Stegostoma tigrinum: one gene and its partner. The protein of the gene in region 1 interacts with the protein of each later gene in a pairwise test. Links are inferred from orthologs where the notes say so. Each region holds a gene or a part of one and is shown in the gene's direction. Other genes may lie near its edges.

Region 1 (9,000 bases):
GAAAGGGGAGATTTTGAAGCTGGTGAAGTCCACATTGATACCATTGGGCTGCAGGGTTCCCAAGCGGAATATGAGTTGCTGTTCCTGCAACCTTCGGGTGGCATCATTGTGGCACTGCAGGAGGCCCATGATGGACATGTCATCAAGAGAATGGGAGGGGGAGTGGAAATGGTTTGCGACTGGGAGGTGCAGTTGTTTATTGCGAACCGAGCGGAGGTCTGCAAAGCAGTCCCCAAGCCTCCGCTTGGTTTCCCCAATGTAGAGGAAGCCACACCGGGTACAGTAGATGCAGTATAACAGATTGGCAGATGTGCAGCTGAACGTCTGCCTAATATGGAAAGTCATCTTGGGGCCTGGTATAGGGGTGAGGGAGGAGGTGTGGGGGCAAGTGTAGCATTTCCTGCGGTTGCAGGGGAAAGTGCCGGGTGTGGTGGGGTTGGAGGGCAGTGTGGAGCGAACAAGGGAGTCACAGAGAGAGTGGTCTCTCCAGAAAGCAGACAAGGGTGGGATGGAAAAATGTCTTGGGTGGTGGGGTCGGATTGTAGATGGCAGATGTGTCGGAGGATGATGCGTTTTATCCGGAGGTTGGTGGGGTGGTGTGTGAGAACGAGGGGGATCCTCTTTGGGTGGGGGTGGGGTGGAAGGGATGTGTTGCAGGAAATGCGGGAGACGCGGTCAAGGGCGTTCTCGACCACTGTAGGGGGAAAGTTGCGGTCCTTGAAGAACTTGGACATCTGGGATGTGCGGGAGTTGTATGCCTCATCCTGGGAGCAGATGCGGCGGAGGCGGAGGAATTGGGAATAGGGGATGGATTTTTGCAGGAGGGTGGGTGGGAGGAGGTGTATTCTAGGTCGCTGTGGGAGTCGGTGGGCATGAAATGGACAAGCTGGTTGCCTGAGATGGAGACTGAGAGGTCCAGGAAGGTGAGGGATGTGCTGGAGATGGCCCAGATGAACTGAAGGTTGGGGTGGAAGGTGTTGGTGAAGTGGATGAACTGTTCGAGCTCCTCTGGAGAGCAAGAGGCGGCGCCGATACAGTCATCAATGTAACGGAGGAAGAGGTGGGGTTTGGGGCCTGTGTAGGTGCGGAAGAGGGACTGTTCCACGTAACCGACAAAGAGGCAGGCATAGCTGGGGCCCATGCGGGTGCCCATGGCCACCCCCTTAGTCTGTAGGAAGTGGGAGGAAAGAGGGGGACTGCCTGTTTGACCAAGCAGGTGTGGATGGAAATGGCTGATAACTACAGTTGACAGAAATGTGTCCCCTGCAAAATGGAATTGTTCATCAAAAGAATCCTGGGCCACAGTACAGCATGCCAGCTGTGTGCCATAACATTTCCAGCTGACAAAGTCAACTCTTTGACCTGCCCAGAATTCTCCTGCACAACACGCATTGGGTCAACCCCTCTTTTACTGCAGGCACCTCATCAGATCAATCGATACCGATGTGAAGCCACAGTGTTTTTACCCTCCGATGCCTCTACCTCACTGTCACCGTGCACAAATTGCATACTTCCTTGCTCTAATCAGAGGCCGATGATCAGCATTTATTGCTGTCCACCAGCTACCGTCCAAGTCATGCACCATAATGTATTGCAACAATTTGCATTTTGGATTAATTGTTGTACATTTAGTCTTTTATACTTTCTGTACTCATTATCTTAAACAGATTACTACAGCGTCTCCGGTTTCTCGTCATTTTAGAACGTGCTCTACTCCATCTTTCTTGCATTCATTAGCTCTCATTTCCCCGACCAGTGTACATCATTTTCCATGTTTTCTCCACTCTCTCAATCTATCAACCTCCCTTTATAAGCTTCTGCGCCCATCTGCATTGTTTAATGTGCCGTTAATCTTGGTACTGTCAGCAAATTTGGATATCTGACTGTCTATGTTTCAGGAGAAACACCAGGTAATCTCTTGTTTTTTTACTGCAGTGTTAACAGGCATGTAATTGTAATTGAGCACTACTTAAAGAGGAGATGTGATTACTTAAGGTGTGAGGCTGGATGAACACAGCAGGCCAAGCAGCATCTCAGGAGCACAAAAGCTGACGTTTCGGGCCTAGACCCTTCATCAGAGGGCCCGAAACGTCAGCTTTTGTGCTCCTGAGATGCTGCTTGGCCTGCTGTGTTCATCCAGCCTCACATTTTATTATCTTGGAATCTCCAGCATCTGCAGTTCCCATTATCTCTGATTACTTAAGGTGATTGTTATAAACTGGCAAAACATAGTATGATTTAATGATTTAAAGAACTAGCTCCCCAGTTTCTTAATATCTTCAATAATTTTTTGCAGAGGAAATTGTGTCAGATAATTTTTTGACTTTTTACTCTCAGTTTCAGCACTAAGTGCTTTCAGGATGAATTCATGCAGTAGAATTGTTACTTCTACAAATTAACATTATCTTTCCCTTTAGTATAAATATATTTAAAATGCAATCATATGGTGAGCAAGCTTACTGCTTCCTCATTATTTCTTTGTCCAGCTTCGGGAGAAATAGAAGTAAAGTAACTATATTTTCTTTGTCACGTTGCCACTCAAAGTTTTAGGGCTGACCTCCTTAACTCTCCAGATGGCAACCTGAATTTAAAAAGCCACAAAAAAGAAAAACTTCCAGCGTCAAACAAAATGTCTCAAATGTTAACATACTCTGATGTCAACAAGGCCACTGTAAAATGGATTTCTTAGGATTTTGCTAAGTGCAACAATGAAAGTGGGACCTAGGAGAGCCACAAATAAACACAAATAGAAATTGCTGGTAAAAACTCAGCAGGTCTGGCAGCATGTGTGGAGAGAAAGCAAAGTTTTGGGTCTAGTGACCCTACTTCAGAATGAAGTTCTTGAAGTTCAGGAAGTACAATAATTGGCATTCAATTGTTTCTTAAGGAATTCTGAGGATTTTTCTCAATGGAAATCATCCACTCTTTATGAGGAGTATTTCTGGACATTCATCTTAAACTTACATTCATTGTGCCTGTGATCTTTTCTGAATTTACTTTTACAAATCAATACCACGAAGCTATCAACCAAGATCTTAGTGAATAGTGGAGAAGGTTTGAAGGACTAAATAGCCTACTCCTGCTTTTATGTTCCTACCTCCTCTCTGCCATTATTGACTCTTATAATGTCACCACCTTTCAAAGTAAATTGGAGTCATTTTTCTCCAACGTTCTTCATAACTGAGTTCTCTGACACCAGTCTCTAATTCTTTTTCTAAGTCACCATTATTGATTGAATGCTTCCCTTATGTTTTACTATCTAGAATCACTTGTAATATTCTAGTCTGACTTGGACCATTGGACACTTTACCGATTTACATTCCATAATTTTGTCCACATAATAAGGCCACCCAGTGGCTAGCACTGCTGCCTCACAGCACCAGGGATCCTGGTTCAATTCCACCCACGGGCGAATGCCTGTGTGGAGTTTGCATATTCTCCCCTTATCTGCATGGGTTTCATGCAGCTGCTGCAGTTTCCTTCCACAGCCCAATGATGTGCAGGTTAGGTGGATTGGCCATGGGAAATGCAGGGTTATGGGGATAGGGTTAGGGGGTAGGTCTGGGCGAGATGCTGTTTGAAGAATCAGTGTGGACTCGATGGACCGAATGGTCTGTTTCCACACTGTGGGGAAACGTTATGATTTCAGTGATGTTGATTCCAATTCGTCAATTATTGCATTAATAATGCATAGTACAAAATGATGTAGAATAAACAGCCTTAAATGTTAAAAGATGTGTTGATGCCCCTATTTTTTTTCTAATGTGGAAAATGATTTGTTTGATTGGGTTTTGAAGTAGTACTCTCCATGATAGTACTGATCTGTGGTCACTTACAAGTACATTTACCTGTGTGTATGAAGTTTATGGATTCAAGTCCCACTCGAAAATTGAGCATAATATTTAAATCACTCGAGAGCAGTTTTGGAGGAGTGGTGCATGTGTGGTACTGTTTTGAAGTAATTTCTCAATCAACGTCACAAAAATATATTATCGTCATTTTGCAGCTTGTGGGAGCTTGCTGTTCTCAATATGATTTGCATTTTCTGTATTATAATCTTCAAAAGTACTCCTTTAACTGTTAGTGCTTTGGAGCATTCAATGACCATGAACAGTGATACATAAATGCAAGTTTGATATAAACATTGTACAGTAAATGTACAAAGAGAACAAAAAAAAACACAAGTTGAATGGTTCCTGAGTATGGACCCAATAGCTCTAGATATAAAAATTCTGTTAACTTAAAGTTTAAAAAAATTGTAAGAGTCATAAAGTCCTGCAGAATGGAGACCATTCCTTTGGCCCAAATTGTCCACACCAACCAAAACGTCCATTCACTCTAACCCATTTCTCTGCATTTGGCCCATATCCTCCTAAACCTTACTTATCCATGTATTTGTCCAAATGCCTTTTAAATGTTGTTAATATACCTACCTCAACCACTTCTGTTGGCAGCTCATTCCATATGTGTACCACCCTCTGTGTAAGAAAATTGCCCCTTGGTTTCGCATATATTTTTTTCCCCATTACTGTAAACTGATTCCCTCAAATCTTCAATTTCTCTGACCTGTCCTTTCAAATGGCTATTTCCCATTAGAGTCATAGAATCCCTACAGTGTAGAAGCAGGCAGTTTGGCCCATCAGGTCCATATCGACCCTCCAAAGAGGATCACACCCAGAGCCAATGCCTCCCCTATCTCTGCATTTCCCACTCTAGACACTGGGCAACTTAGCATGGCTGTGAGACTGTGCTATACATCATCCCCAAAATCAGTTCTTCTGGAGCAGCCACTGCATTTAGCTGTCTCTGGCATTCCCTGCTTAAATGTTTTGCTTTGCCACCTCCCTTCCCAATTGGAAAACCCTTCACCCTGTCTTTCACTTTCTCCCTTCTGGCATCTGGGCTCCCATTGCTACCTGAGCCCAGTTTTAGTTTGCAGGAGTACTCTAGTACTGTGTGGGACATGCAATTGAATGCAAGGCAGCAAGTTAACTTTTGCCATGCTTTCTAAGAAAAGAAAACAGCGAATGAAACCTTTAGTCTGGGGCGGGGGAGAGAGGGGGTTATTTGTGTTTTAAACCCGAGCTGTGCACATCCTTGCAGCACGCTGGAGTGAGATTTCTGAGCTGGGACTTAGGCAGGCTCCTCTCACAACAGGAACCATAGTTCAGGGGCCTGGAGTGCTGAGAGGGGGAATCTTTTGCGGTGGCACGTTTCCGGAGAAGCCTGCTGTTATGGTAACAGCAGAAGCTGGTGCGGGTTGTAGGTGTTGAGGAGAAAACGGCGGATTTTCTCTCGGTATCTCTTGGTTCTGACCTGGGTGGGAGGATGAACGCGGACCGATTCTCAATGTCGGCTGAGGACTACCTGAGTGAGTAGTGAGTCCTGGCCTCTGTCACGATGGTCCTTCACATGGGTCCTAGCCTCAAACATTCTCCCTTTCTCTCTCCTCCTTCCCCTTCTGCAGAACATTTCCAGCAATTTTCTCTGCTCCTCTCTGTTTTGATTCCCTCCCCCTTTAAGTTTCACATTCCTTGCAAGCTTGAAATAAAAACAGTAAATTGCTGGATAAACTCAACAGGTCTGGCAGCGTATGAGGAGTCAGAGAAACGAGTTAATGTCTCAAGGCCAGTGACCCTTTTAGTTTATTGTTTTATGATTTTTTTTGTTAAAGCTTTCTCTCCTGGTGGTTCTCCCCGCCCTAAAAAAAAAGCGTTTTGGAACATCCGTTGGGAGTCTGGTCTTCGGGGAGTTGCCATGACCAGGCTCTCTTGCCCTCTGATTGGACCACTTTGCCCTGGGCACTGGCATCTGTGATGGTGGGGACCCTTGGGAGGAGTCAGCCTAGTTGGAATTTATGGCTGAATGGCCTTCTCCCATTCATTCAAGTATGTCTCCATACTTCAGTCTCATTGTCAACACCACTTTCCTGTCTGCACCTCCATAACCCTCGATTCCTTTGCCTATCAAGGTATGAAGGTCTCCGTGGCATTATTGGAATAAAGTTACTTGTATTCCAGCCTTATGTTGGGTTCTGATATTGTGACGGTCATGTTCATGCACTCCTCTCACTAGTTGACTGGTTGTCGATCACCATTTTTGACTAGATATAGTTAGGGTAGAGGTTTTGTTGTGATGCCATACTTGTGGACCTGCTTAGCTCTGTCTGTAGCCAGCAATGTTGATGTTATGTTTTGTATGCATGTAGTACTGTGTAGTAGTTTCAGTTGAATGTTAGGCAACGAGGGTCAGTGTTGAGAATTGTCAGCTCTGTGTCTTCTTATGTGACTTCATCTTGCGACTGTCCACTGTTGATGGGCGAGAAAACACCATGGATGATGATGGAAGATTCTGGAATGCTGGTACATTGCTACAATCCTGTGGAATTTTACTATGTCAGTCTGTTGCCCTCCCCCCTCTGGTGGGGTAGTTCTCCTAATGTTGGTATAAATGCTCAGATGTTCTTTCTTTCTTTTACTGTTGGCTACATAATATTAAACATGGAATTGGCCCTTTTCACAAAGTAATTTGATTGCCCAAGTTAGAATTCATTATTGTTTACAGAATTATGTTTTCATACCTTGACTTTAATTTATCACTTAAAGCTGCTTCATCTGTTCCTCTGTATGCTTCTTTAATTTCATTGGCCCCATTCTCCCTCTGGACCTAGAATTTGTGTAGATTCCCCTTGCCTAATGATCACGTTGTTTACCCCATTTGCAGTGTTTTCACCTTATTCTAGCATTGATCAAGATCACCTGAGTTATTCTACTCATAATGCTGATCGAATCTGATCTCTGTCTTTGGTAGAATCTTTGAAGTGCACATTCGCACTTGAGGCATTTTAGTCATTCATTCCCCAAGTTAATATCTTTGTTTGCCTTATCATTATTTCCCTGGATGCTCCATATCCTTTTACTATGAACCTTCTGTTGATAGTTTTCAGAATTATGTGCACTGGTCCTTGTTTTGTACCATGTCTTCTTCATATTATTCACTTCTTAACCTTCCCTTCACCCTTGTTGCAAAGACATTGGTTCTGATCTAGAATCATAGAATCCCTGTAGCATGGAAACAGGCCCTTCAGCCCAACAAGTCCACACCAACCCTCAGACATCCCACCCAGACCAATCCCACTATAACCCACCTAATCTACACGTCCCTGAACACTGGGCAATTTAGCATGGCCAACCCACCTAGCCTGCACACCTTTGGACCGTGGGGGGAAACCGGAGCACCCAGAGGAAACCCATGCAGACACAGGGACACTGCAAACTCCACACACAGTTGCCCGAGGGTGGAATAGAACCTGAGTTCCAGTGCAGCAGTGCTAACCACTGATCTGAATCTGATGAATGACCTCCCATTAGGGTGGCACAGTGGCTCAGTGGTTAGCACTGCAACCTCACAACGTCAGGGACCCAGGTTCGGTTCCAGCCTCGGGTGACTGCCTGTGTGGAGCTTGCACATTCTCCCCGTGTCTGCGTGGGTTTCCTCCAGGTGCTCCGGTTTCCTCCCACAGTCCAAAGATGTGCAGGTTAGGTGGATCGGCCATGCTAAATTGCCTGTGGTGTTCAGGGGTGTGTGGGTTATAGGGGGATGGGCTGGGTGGGATGCTTCATGTGGCGGTGTGGGCTTGTTGGGCCGAAGGGCCTGTTTCCACACTGTAGGGAATCTAATCTAATCTGTATTGTTATTATCTTTCCCAGAGCTTGTTTCAGCAATGTAGAAACCAGAAACCTGCTTTCTGTGCCATCTGTTTAATCATTGATTGTTCATCACACAACATTGTGAGTAATCCTAAATTTACCATAATTAATATAGTTATAATTAAGTAGTAAGTCCTGGACAACATCCTGGACTGATAAATGATAACTAATGTTAGTGCCATGCAAGTGTGAGTCAAAGATCATCTCTGATATGAGAAGATTTAACCATCTTCCGTTTATGTTCAATGGCAATCCCATCACTGAACTCCCCACTATCAACAACCTGCGCGTTATCATTGACATTAAATGGAATAGGATCAGCCATACAGACAATGACTATAAGAGGAGGTCAGAAGTTAGGAATTCTGCAGTGAGTGACACAATCAAGAAAGCTCATGGACTGTGGGCATATATATATCTAAAGGACTGGAGCACAAGGGTGCAAAAGTTATGCTGAAGTCATGCTAAACCCTAGTTAGACCTTACTTGGAGAACTGTGAGCAGATCCTGGGACCACGTCTTAGAACCATACATCAGCCTTGGAGGGGGTACAGTACAGGTTATAAGAATGATTCCTGGATTTCAGGGGTCATCAGGAGAGATTATCCAAATTAGGCCTGTTTTCTCTTGAATTTAGAAGGTTAAAAGGTGATCTGATCGAGGTCTTCGAGATTATTAACAGGGAATAACAGGGCCCACTTATTGGATACTCTACAACTAGGGGCATAGTCTGAGAATTAGGGCCAGAGCTTTAAGGTTAGATATTAGGAAGCTTCTGACACATGAAGGATAGGAGAGGTTTGGAACTGTCTTCCTCAAATGGCAATGGATGCTCAATCAGTTGTTAATTTAAATCTAAGATGCATTTTTGTTAAACAAAGGTATTAAGGGATATGTCTTCTTTAAACCGGTTTGGTTTCTATTTCCCACCTTACATTGCCTATTACTTCATGCAGCAAATTAGCTAATTACTTTAGCTCTACTAACTTGACTGTTTTGATCCACATCGTTGAACTATCGGGGCTACAACACCTTTTCATCCCTTATGGACCACTTCTACAGTGGGGTCAGTTTTTAATTGTTCAACCATTACAGTACTTCCCAGTGTCTTTCATGTCAACTTCTTTCTCTTTGATGCCAAATATGTATTTTTTTTAAAGGTTTATATCCCCAGTTAAATTTTCTGCAATAGATTTTTGTTTGTAAAATGAGAATTTCAGTACTGATTCTTACCAATGAAAAGATAAATACAGTTGCAAGTTATTTTTAGTGCTGGCTACAAGACCCCTTT
Region 2 (9,255 bases), on another chromosome or scaffold:
CTACTGAGGAGTGCTAACAGTATATAAGTACTTTAACAATTGTTAAATCTGTTTGAAAGAATTATATCTATAAATGAATGTGCACACACTGTGTAAAATGAACAAGTGGAGGGTATAGTTGTATTTTTGCAGACCAGGCAAGATTTTAAAATGTTTGGGCTTCCTTTTTTTTTAACTGTTCTGTTAAACAAGAGAAAATTGCCAACTTAATTGTGATTATTCTGTTTGTCGGTGACATCTGACTAATCCGGGATGAAGAAAATCAGGATAATTGCACTGAATCTGCTAGTTTGCCACTGTTACGGTCAATTGGACCAACAAAGAAAAAGTATATTCAGTGCAATCATTCAGTCAGTCTTAAAACTATCACCCCACAAGGAAACAAGTTACATTTTGCTATCAGAGTTTGTCGCCTGTTCTGATTTTTGTTTTTTGTCTGTGCTCTTGTCACTTTTTTTTTTCCTGTGGGATTAAATCTATAAATGTATGACCGAATCAGAATATTTGTACTGACAAACTACATTTGTGTTGTCCTAATTTTATTCTTGTACTGTGAATGGAATTTCTTCCAGATCCAGCCCTGTCGTGCTCAGTATCCTGAGCCAGTTTCCTGCACAGTATAGCCAAAATTAATATTTATATTCTAAATTGCCAAGATGTCGTGAACGTTTTGGGAGTCTGTATTTGATAAAAATAAAATGTCGTACAATGGTGAACTTTTTTATTTTTAATCTTTGCCTTTTTCATTCCTCTGCTACTTTTGATTATGGTGCCTAGACACTGGTTATTACAACAGCTTCTTCTGGAGTGTCATGGCATTGTGATTTTTCAATGTGTAAACCACTCAGATGTATTATATCGTCACTAGGAGGTCCAAGCGTAATTTGTTTTAGGTTTTAAAATTCTCAGATGCATGTTGGAATTCATGCAATTTCCCTCTATCTCTTTTTAAAAATTATGTCCAATTGAATATGCTTGTCAAATCTTGTATTCTGTTGCCGTCCAACAATATGCATCTTTCAGCAAGACTCAAGGGAGGGCAATCATGTACAGAAACCTGGCTGAAATCTTCTCACCTCTATCCTCAATAATACCAATTGTAGCATCCTTCTTGCTAGCATAACTGAGTTGGCACAGATTGGACACTGAACATGGGCATTCTGGTTTGTAAAACACAATGCTGCACTTGACAACAAGTATCCAACATATGCCACTGGGGAAACAGCTTCTATTGTCTTGGAAATCTCATCAGTACTGAGGATGTGGGAGATGGTCTGGAACTGGAAACAAAGCAAACAATGGTTGTGACTTTGACAGGAGTACAATTTCAAGAGTGGTAGAAAGCAGCGAGGGTATCGTTTGTTTCCCGTTGTTAAACATATACTACAATTTCAAGGAGTTTGAAATACGATGTGGATAAAACTGCACATTTATTTTGGAGATAAGAGATAACAAAGTGTGGAGCTGGATGAACACAGCAGGCCAAGCAGCATCTTAGGAGCACAAATGCTGACGTTTCGGGCCTAGACCCTTCTTCAGAGAGGGGGATGGGGAGAGGGTTCTGGAATAAATAGGGAGAGAGGGGAGGCAGACCGAAGTTGGAAAGAAAAGAAGATAGGTGGGGAGGTAGGGAGGGGATAGGTCAGTCCAGGGAAGACAGACAGTCAAGGAGGCAGGATAAATAGTAGGTAGGATATGGAGGTGCGGCTTGAGGGGGGAGGAAGGGATAGGTGAGAGGAAGAACAGATTAGGGAGGCGGCGACAAGCTGGGCTGGTTTTGGGATGCAGTGGGGGAGGGGACGAGCTGGGCTGGTTTTGGGATGCAGTGGGGGAAGGGGAGATTTTGAAAATACGATATGGATAAAACTGCATATTTATTTTGGAGATCAGCTCTGTATACCAGAGTTGCTCATTTCAGTCTGTCTTACTAAACAGATGGGCATAGTGAATAATTTACAAAAAGCACAAATTGATTGAGTCCTGATGATTGCTATGTAGCAATAAGAAGTATTCCAATCAGAACATCTTCATTAGTGATACAAGGGATCCCCATGTGCTGTGGCACCATACATCTGTAAGGTCTAATTTTCTAAAGAATCCACAGAATCTCTACAGTGTGGAAACAGGCCCTTCAGCCCTCCCCTGTCACCCACCTAATCTACACATCCCTGAACACTCTGGGAAATTTAGCATGGCCAAGCCACCTACCCTTTGAAGTGTGGGAGGAAACCCATGTAGACATGGGAAGAATGTGCAAACTCCACACACAGTTACCCAAAGTGGAATTGAATGCAGGCTCCTGGCGCTGTGACGCAGCAGTGCTAACCACTGAGCCACCATGCTGCCCTAAATTTGTCCAGATAATTGTTGTAAATTTCTAATATAACATCCTGGAATTCCCTCCCTAATAGCATTGTGAGTCTACCTACAGCACGTGGACTGCAGTGATTCAAGAAGGAAGCTCACCACCACCTTCTCAAAAAGGTAACTAGGAAGAAGCCATAAATGCTAGACCAGCAAGGCGCACTCACATTTCATATATAAGGAAATAAAATAAGTCTTGGAAATAAATGGCATCTGACACCTGAAGTTAGCATTTTTGGTGGAGTCTTTTTTAAAAGTCTGAAGTGGGACAGGAGGAAATGGAATTTCTAAATATTAACATCTTCCTATTGAAACCAGCTAGTATACATTTACAGTGGGTCCTCACCATTCACTGGAGGAATGTTTCAGAAAAATCTGAATAGCAAATAAATGAAAAACAGGGATTTGTTTCATATAAGAATTAATAAGTTTTTGGCAACAAGCAAAATAACATCAATGATTATGCTGAAAATTGTTCCCTCGTAAAGTAAGGTACATATGCAAAATAAAGAATATTGGACTAACAAACAGACCCACTACCCAGTGGAGACAACAGCATTTACATGGCACAAGGGTGCTTCACAAGTGCACTATGAAACAAAGTTCAATGCCAAGCTACATCGAGGTGGATGATCAAACATTTGGTCAGAGATACGTTTTGAGGAGCTTTGTACAGCTAGAGAAAGGGAGAGTTGAGTATTCAAGAGGCCAGAATTAGACAGCTTTGTACTTAGTAGAATTGTAGGCCTGGAAATTACAGGAGAAGAGGAAGAGTGAGGCCATTGGAGAATTTCAAGAGAAGTTTGAGAAACTTAAAGGGGAGACGTTACTCAATTTGGTGTCAATGAATGTGATTGAATGGAACTTGGTGAGAGTTCATAGGCAAAAAATGGTAAATATAATATACAAGAACAATTTGAAACAGTTTTACTACAAAAATCACACACAAAATTCTTTTAACCTCAACAACAATGTTACAGATACTCATTAAGCATGAGGAAGTAAGTCATGCTGACAGCAGATCACTTAAGATTATTTTAATCAAACTGTTTGAACATATTATGACACACCCTCAGGACAGGTGAGACGTGAAACCAGACCTCTGGCCCAGATGTAATGATACTGCCATTGCACCACAGTACCCCATAGGGGGTCAGTTAACTCGGTGACTGGATACCTGGTTTGCGATGCAGAGTGACGCCAACAGACTGGTTCAATTCCAATATCGGCTGAGGTCACCACGAAGGTCAACCTTCTCAAATTCTCCCTTCACCTGAAGTATGGTGAACAAAGGGTTATGCTCACCACCAGTCATCTCTCCACTGAGAGAGCAGCTTTGTAGTCCTCTGGGACTACAGTGACTTTACCTTCCATTTAGAGGTGTTCACAACTCAATGTAGGGCAAACCTATTTCCACTTTAAAATTCCTTGTTCAGGTGGCATAGTTTTAGTTAATTTCTGGAGGTTTCCTCTTACTGACATAAATACTTTAAAGCAAACACATATCCTCATCTCCCAGCAGTTTTCTGCCTTGTCTTTAAGCTTAGCACTTCAGCTTCCACTGTCTTGTATCTACAGACACAAACGCTTTGACTTTCTGGCTGCTTTCTCTTGCACAATTCAGGACTGTTTTGGAGATTGCTAAATTAACACCACCTTTTCTCTCTAACTGAACCTGCATACACCCTGACCTTCCAGATGGTGTGTCATTCTGTGATAATTGACTCTTGACACTAGGGAACTGCAGTGTTTTTTCTTTCCTGACCATTTTTCCTAATAATTTCCTATTATACCTTAAGTTCAACTGCAAGACTACATACCCTCATTAAAAATGCCTACATTAACAAACTTCAAATACCTCCGTGTCATTTCAAACAAATCTAAAATGGAACTAAAACCATGACTCCTTTTGGTACACAATATAGAAATACAAATCAAAGTTATACATGATTATTCTTTTTTAGAATGCAGGTTTTCAAATAAGATGAATTTTCATCACATTTTAGATAACTGAAACTGAAAGAAATGCTGATCAGATTGGAATTCATTTTTCTAGAGGAAAGAAGGCTAAGAGATGCTGTGATGGACATATTTTAGAATGATAAGACTTAATAGGATAGGAAAAAAGTAATGTGCACTTATTCATCACCTTTAAAATAATAAAATGTTCCAAAGTGCTTTACGGTAGTTTTATCAAAAACATTTCACACAGTTACATATGAGCAGATTTTTTACTGTTAGGGCTGAATTCCAGAGGTGAGTGATAACCCTTGACGTCAAGGAACCCTAGCAAAACTACAATCAATGGGTGTCAGGAGGCAAACTCTCTGTTGGTTGGAGTCATACCTGGCATAGAGGAAGATGGTTGTGATTATTGGAGGTTAGTCAGCTCAACTCTAGAACATCTCTGCAGAAGTTCTTCAGACTAGTGACCTAGGCCCAACTATCTTCAGATACTTCATTTATAGCCCTCCCTCCATCATGAGGTCAGAAGTTGGGGATGTACACTGATGACTGCACAATGTTCAGCACCATTCGTGAGACCTCAGATACCAAAGCAGTCCATTTTCAAATGCCATCCAGGCAATGACCAGGCTTGGACTGAAAAGTGGCAAGTTCATGCTACATAAATACCAGACAATGACCATCTCTATTAAGAGGCCATCTGAACACCACTCCTTGACATTCAAGGATGTTACCGTCACCGCACTTCCTACTATCAACATCCTGGATTACCACTGGCCAGAAACTCAACTGGACTCGCCGTACAAAAGTCATAGAGTGGCACGGTACCATAACAGACCCTTCGGTCCAGCTTCTCTCCCGGCTCTAAACACGCCCAGAGCGGTGCATTTCGGGAGTTGTAGTCCTTCCGCCGTGGGATCGGAGCGGGCGTGGCACTTCCGCCCGGCGAGCGGCGAACTACGGTTCCCAGAGTGCACCGCCGGCGTCTGGGTCCACGTGACCGCGTCCTGGATGCGGGCGGAAAATTTACAGCGCGTCCCGTGAAACAAAAAACAAACTTAACGAGGGCATCGCGACGCTGTTCATTCTCCCCCGCCCCTCCTTACACCACCCGGGGTGTAAGGACGGTAAATTAAGTGGGGTGGTGCTTTTTTTAAAAAAAAAGGGGAGGGGATGTTGTCTCCAGGGCCTCAGGGAGGATGTTTATGACGAGCTCCAGTTGCTGCATCTTCCCTCATTCAGTCAGTGTTCTCTCTGCAGTATGGCGAATGACTACCTGTTCAAGGTGCTGGTCATTGGGGACTGCACGGTGGGTAAGACCTCCCTGGTGCAGCGTTATGCTAACGACAGCTTCAGTAAGAACTACAAATCCACCGTGGGAGGTAAGTGTGTGTGTGTGTGTGTGTGTGTGTGTGTGTGTGTGTGTGTGTGTGTGTGAGAGAGAGACACACACTTTTTGTTGTTTGCTGCAATAAGGTGGAGGGATGAGTTGTACAACTTCCAAACTTGTTGTTATGACTTGAAAGTTGCACCAGCCAGAGTTGGTGGTATTTTTTGGGGGGGTGTGGAAGATTTTTAAAATAGCCCTGGCAGGAATTGGAGTGAAAAACAAAACCATAGAGAAGTACTGCGGTTGCTGCAAAGTTGAAATAAAAACAGATGTATTATCCGGAGAAACTCAGCGGGTCTTAGCGCCTGGTGGCCTCAGAAGCACTTGACCTTTTCAGGTCCAATATGAATTCTGAAGGGTCGCTGGACTGGAAACTTTACTGTCTCTCTCCCCAGATGCTGCCAGACCTGCTGAGTTTCTCCCAGTAGTTTCTGTTCTTGTTTCATGACTTTCTCTCAATTAGAGAACAAAATAGCATCATAACTAACTTAGCAAATTGGTAAAGTTCTCCACTGTTGTTACTCTTCTTTGAATGTTGCTCTCTTTCTGGGCACCCTCACATTTATGAGGTCTGTGCTTTCTTCCAACTCCCCACTTCACCACCCCCAAACAAAAACCAGTGGAACTGCCACTATTTCCCAGCTGTTTTCAGTTCTGACAGTCACTGAACTTGAAACATCAATTTTAATACACCTGACAGAACAGAAATTTATTGTCCTAGATGCAGTCATTCCCCCTGAATTTCACAGGTACTTTCAGTTTTGCTTCTCTCCTAGTTTAATGCCTTTGCTTCTTTCTATAACTGTTTTTAGGCCTTTTTTAAAGGTGCCGAGTAGGAGGATAACAAGTTTCTTCTTCTTCTGAAACTTGGTAACTTTCAGTACCAGTATGATTATATAATGTAATGCAGAACAAAATTATTCAGTCCATAGTCCAATAAGCACAGACAATCAAATTTAGAGAGATAACACTACTCCTTTCCCTGTAACTTTTGCTTGCTTTCAATTTCCTTTTATTTGTTACCATTAATCTAATCCTGCCTTCTGTTTTAAACAGTGCATTCCAGACTATGATAACACAAATGCAATTTCTAAATCTCTTCTCAGGTTGTTGGCCTTCCTGTGAGTGGAAATTGTTTTTAACTTAATTATACTAGTGCTCATTTTGAACCTTGAGCTAGTCGTGATATTACTTAGCTAATTAGAATATATAATTTACTGTCCTTTTTAAAGACAGTCAGCTTTAAATTAGGTGCATAGAAGTTTTAAAGTGCAGTTGGAACACTTAAAAAAATCACTTTAATGTCTACATTAACAAAAGAAAATAATTTTCAGATATCAATGAAATTGTGTTTTTTTAAACAATTTCCCACTTCTTTTCTTGTACCTTGACTTGGGATTTGATAAATGATTCCCTTTCTCTGCTTGCCTCTCTTTTTTTCTTATTCCTGTTCTCAGCTGAGCCAAGGGGTTTGAACAAACCCATCATCTTGCAAATCTTGAGCTTTTATAATTGTAGTTTCATAAGATTGATTACAAATAAACCACTTAATATTTCAGTTTATAATAAAATAATTTAGAAAAGTTCCTGAAGTGAAAGTCCACAGACATGATAAAAGGACAAGTGAGACCACTGCTTCTAAAGAGGTTGCATGCAAATTTCTGCTTTGCAAACTAACCTTTTCCTTGGGTTTTCTGTTTTTAGTTTTAGAACCTGAAGTGCCCAGTCTGTTCTTATTGTTAACCTGCACTCCTTTCTGTCAAAAATAAGAGCATGGCTTTGTGATCAGTATATTGATTGCTGTGTATCTTTATTGTACTGTATGAGTTAAAAGCAACTTGTTCTGAATTCTTTACAAATTTAAACTGTGCTAGAATAATAAAGTATTTTAACCATGAGCGGTCCAGATTGAACGGCAAACTACTCAACCTATGAGTAAGCGGCTGTTCTCTACCAAGGAAATCTATTGTAGTGCAATATACCAAGTGTGTAACTCTGAGGTGGAAATTACTTGTCTGTGTGACTAGTTGGAGGTTTTTGTAGGAATGTGAGCAATGTTTCAGCTGAGTGTTTGTGAGCTGAATTAAGTTGCTAATGACACATTGCACTTTTACACAATATGGGCAGAGCTATGTATGAAGAAATGGTTTTGAAGATTAAGATTTGACTTTTTTTCAGGGCAAATGGGTGAAAGAGAAGCTTTAATTGACAGAAGTTAAGCAAAATATTGACCCCATAAAGACTAATTATTTTGTTTGTTATAAGGGTCATAATTCTCCAACAGGTATATATTTATTTTTTAAAAACTGCTTAATACAACTAAAGTTGGAGATTGGAAGTGAAATCAGACCAAATTCTTAAATTGCATTTGAGGATGTGGTTGACAGACAGTTTCACAAAATTATCATGTCTGATAACTGAAAAGATGAGATTTGCAATTTGGAGAAGCAGTTGAATTGATTGGAAAGACTGGTGGGTTAATTTAAAAGCATATGTGCTGCACAATCAAATCTCAAGTTGACAATTTCATAATAATAGAGTAATCCTATTTTGTAAGAAGCTTTAGATTAACTCTTAACAAACCATGGTTTTGTAATTCGTTTGTGGTTGACAAGGTTTTATCCTTGTGCTTGACTAATGACCTGTAGACCTCTTTATTTTTCCCCAGAAACTGTAGTAGTTCTGGTTGTATCAAAAGCGCAGTAGCATGTCATTTTTAACAAGAGTATTTAAAACTGAATAAACACGGTCAGCCTTAACTCAATGTGGTAGCTTAATAATATTTGTTCTTTTTTTTTGAGAATGCAGCAGTAATTGCCACCGCTTGTTTGTTTTTAGAAAAAATTACTGCACATGGGCTGTGTTTTTAAAATTGACCTGCCTCTCTCTCTCTCTCTCTCTCACATCCAATAAGGCACTTAAGGTTACATAATGGATACATCTGCCAACTTTTAATTCCCCTCATGAGAATGAAAGAATGCCTGAGTAAAACATGGGCATTGAACTGAATTAAAATAGAGATGGAAACTATAGCTTCCTTTTTTTAAATGGAAAGAAAAATAAGCAGGCTTCCGGATCAGCACGATCCTGTTGACCTGTTCTGTTCTGTTCTGTGCTGAGCGGGTGACTTGTTTTCTTCATATGCTGAAGATTAAAGTTGAGCCTCAAATATTATTTCCTTTGTGGAAATGCATATGATATCTACACTTCAAAGTGGAGTTAGTGTCAGAAGTACGATGGGGTGTTCAGTCATTAATTTCAGTATTTCACCAATTACCTTGGCTAATTGCACCTCTTGCATTTGTTATGGACCAAACCCCCTCAAAATATTAAGATTCAAAGTTTTAGCAAAGATCTGTACCTTGGGTTGTGGGTAAGGTTGTTGACTTGCTCACCGATCTGGCTTGTTCTCATTGAGACACTTTGTCACCATGCTAAATAACGGCATCAGTGAAGCGATGTTATTCTACTCCACTTGGAATTTATACTGTTTTGTCTGTTGCGGTGAGTGGCATCATTTCTGGTTTTGATCTGTG

The links.
Region 2: the proteins of cstpp1 (region 1) and ras-related protein Rab-7L1-like interact in a two-hybrid assay, tested with the Homo sapiens proteins (2 studies listed by BioGRID and IntAct). The two-hybrid records come from large-scale screens. The link is inferred for Stegostoma tigrinum from reciprocal best matches to the Homo sapiens genes CSTPP1 and RAB29.

Annotation. Positions count from the first base shown.
Region 1 is NC_081370.1:51,241,654-51,250,653, reverse strand, and holds the start of cstpp1 (centriolar satellite-associated tubulin polyglutamylase complex regulator 1), read left to right. Parts: upstream 1-5,198; 5' UTR 5,199-5,328; coding exon 5,329-5,371; intron 5,372-9,000. UniProt on the Homo sapiens protein: Regulator of the tubulin polyglutamylase complex (TPGC) that controls cytoskeletal organization, nuclear shape, and cilium disassembly by balancing microtubule and actin assembly.
Region 2 is NC_081374.1:13,081,518-13,090,772, reverse strand, and holds the start of ras-related protein Rab-7L1-like, read left to right. Parts: upstream 1-5,325; 5' UTR 5,326-5,590; coding exon 5,591-5,711; intron 5,712-9,255. UniProt on the Homo sapiens protein: The small GTPases Rab are key regulators in vesicle trafficking. Essential for maintaining the integrity of the endosome-trans-Golgi network structure.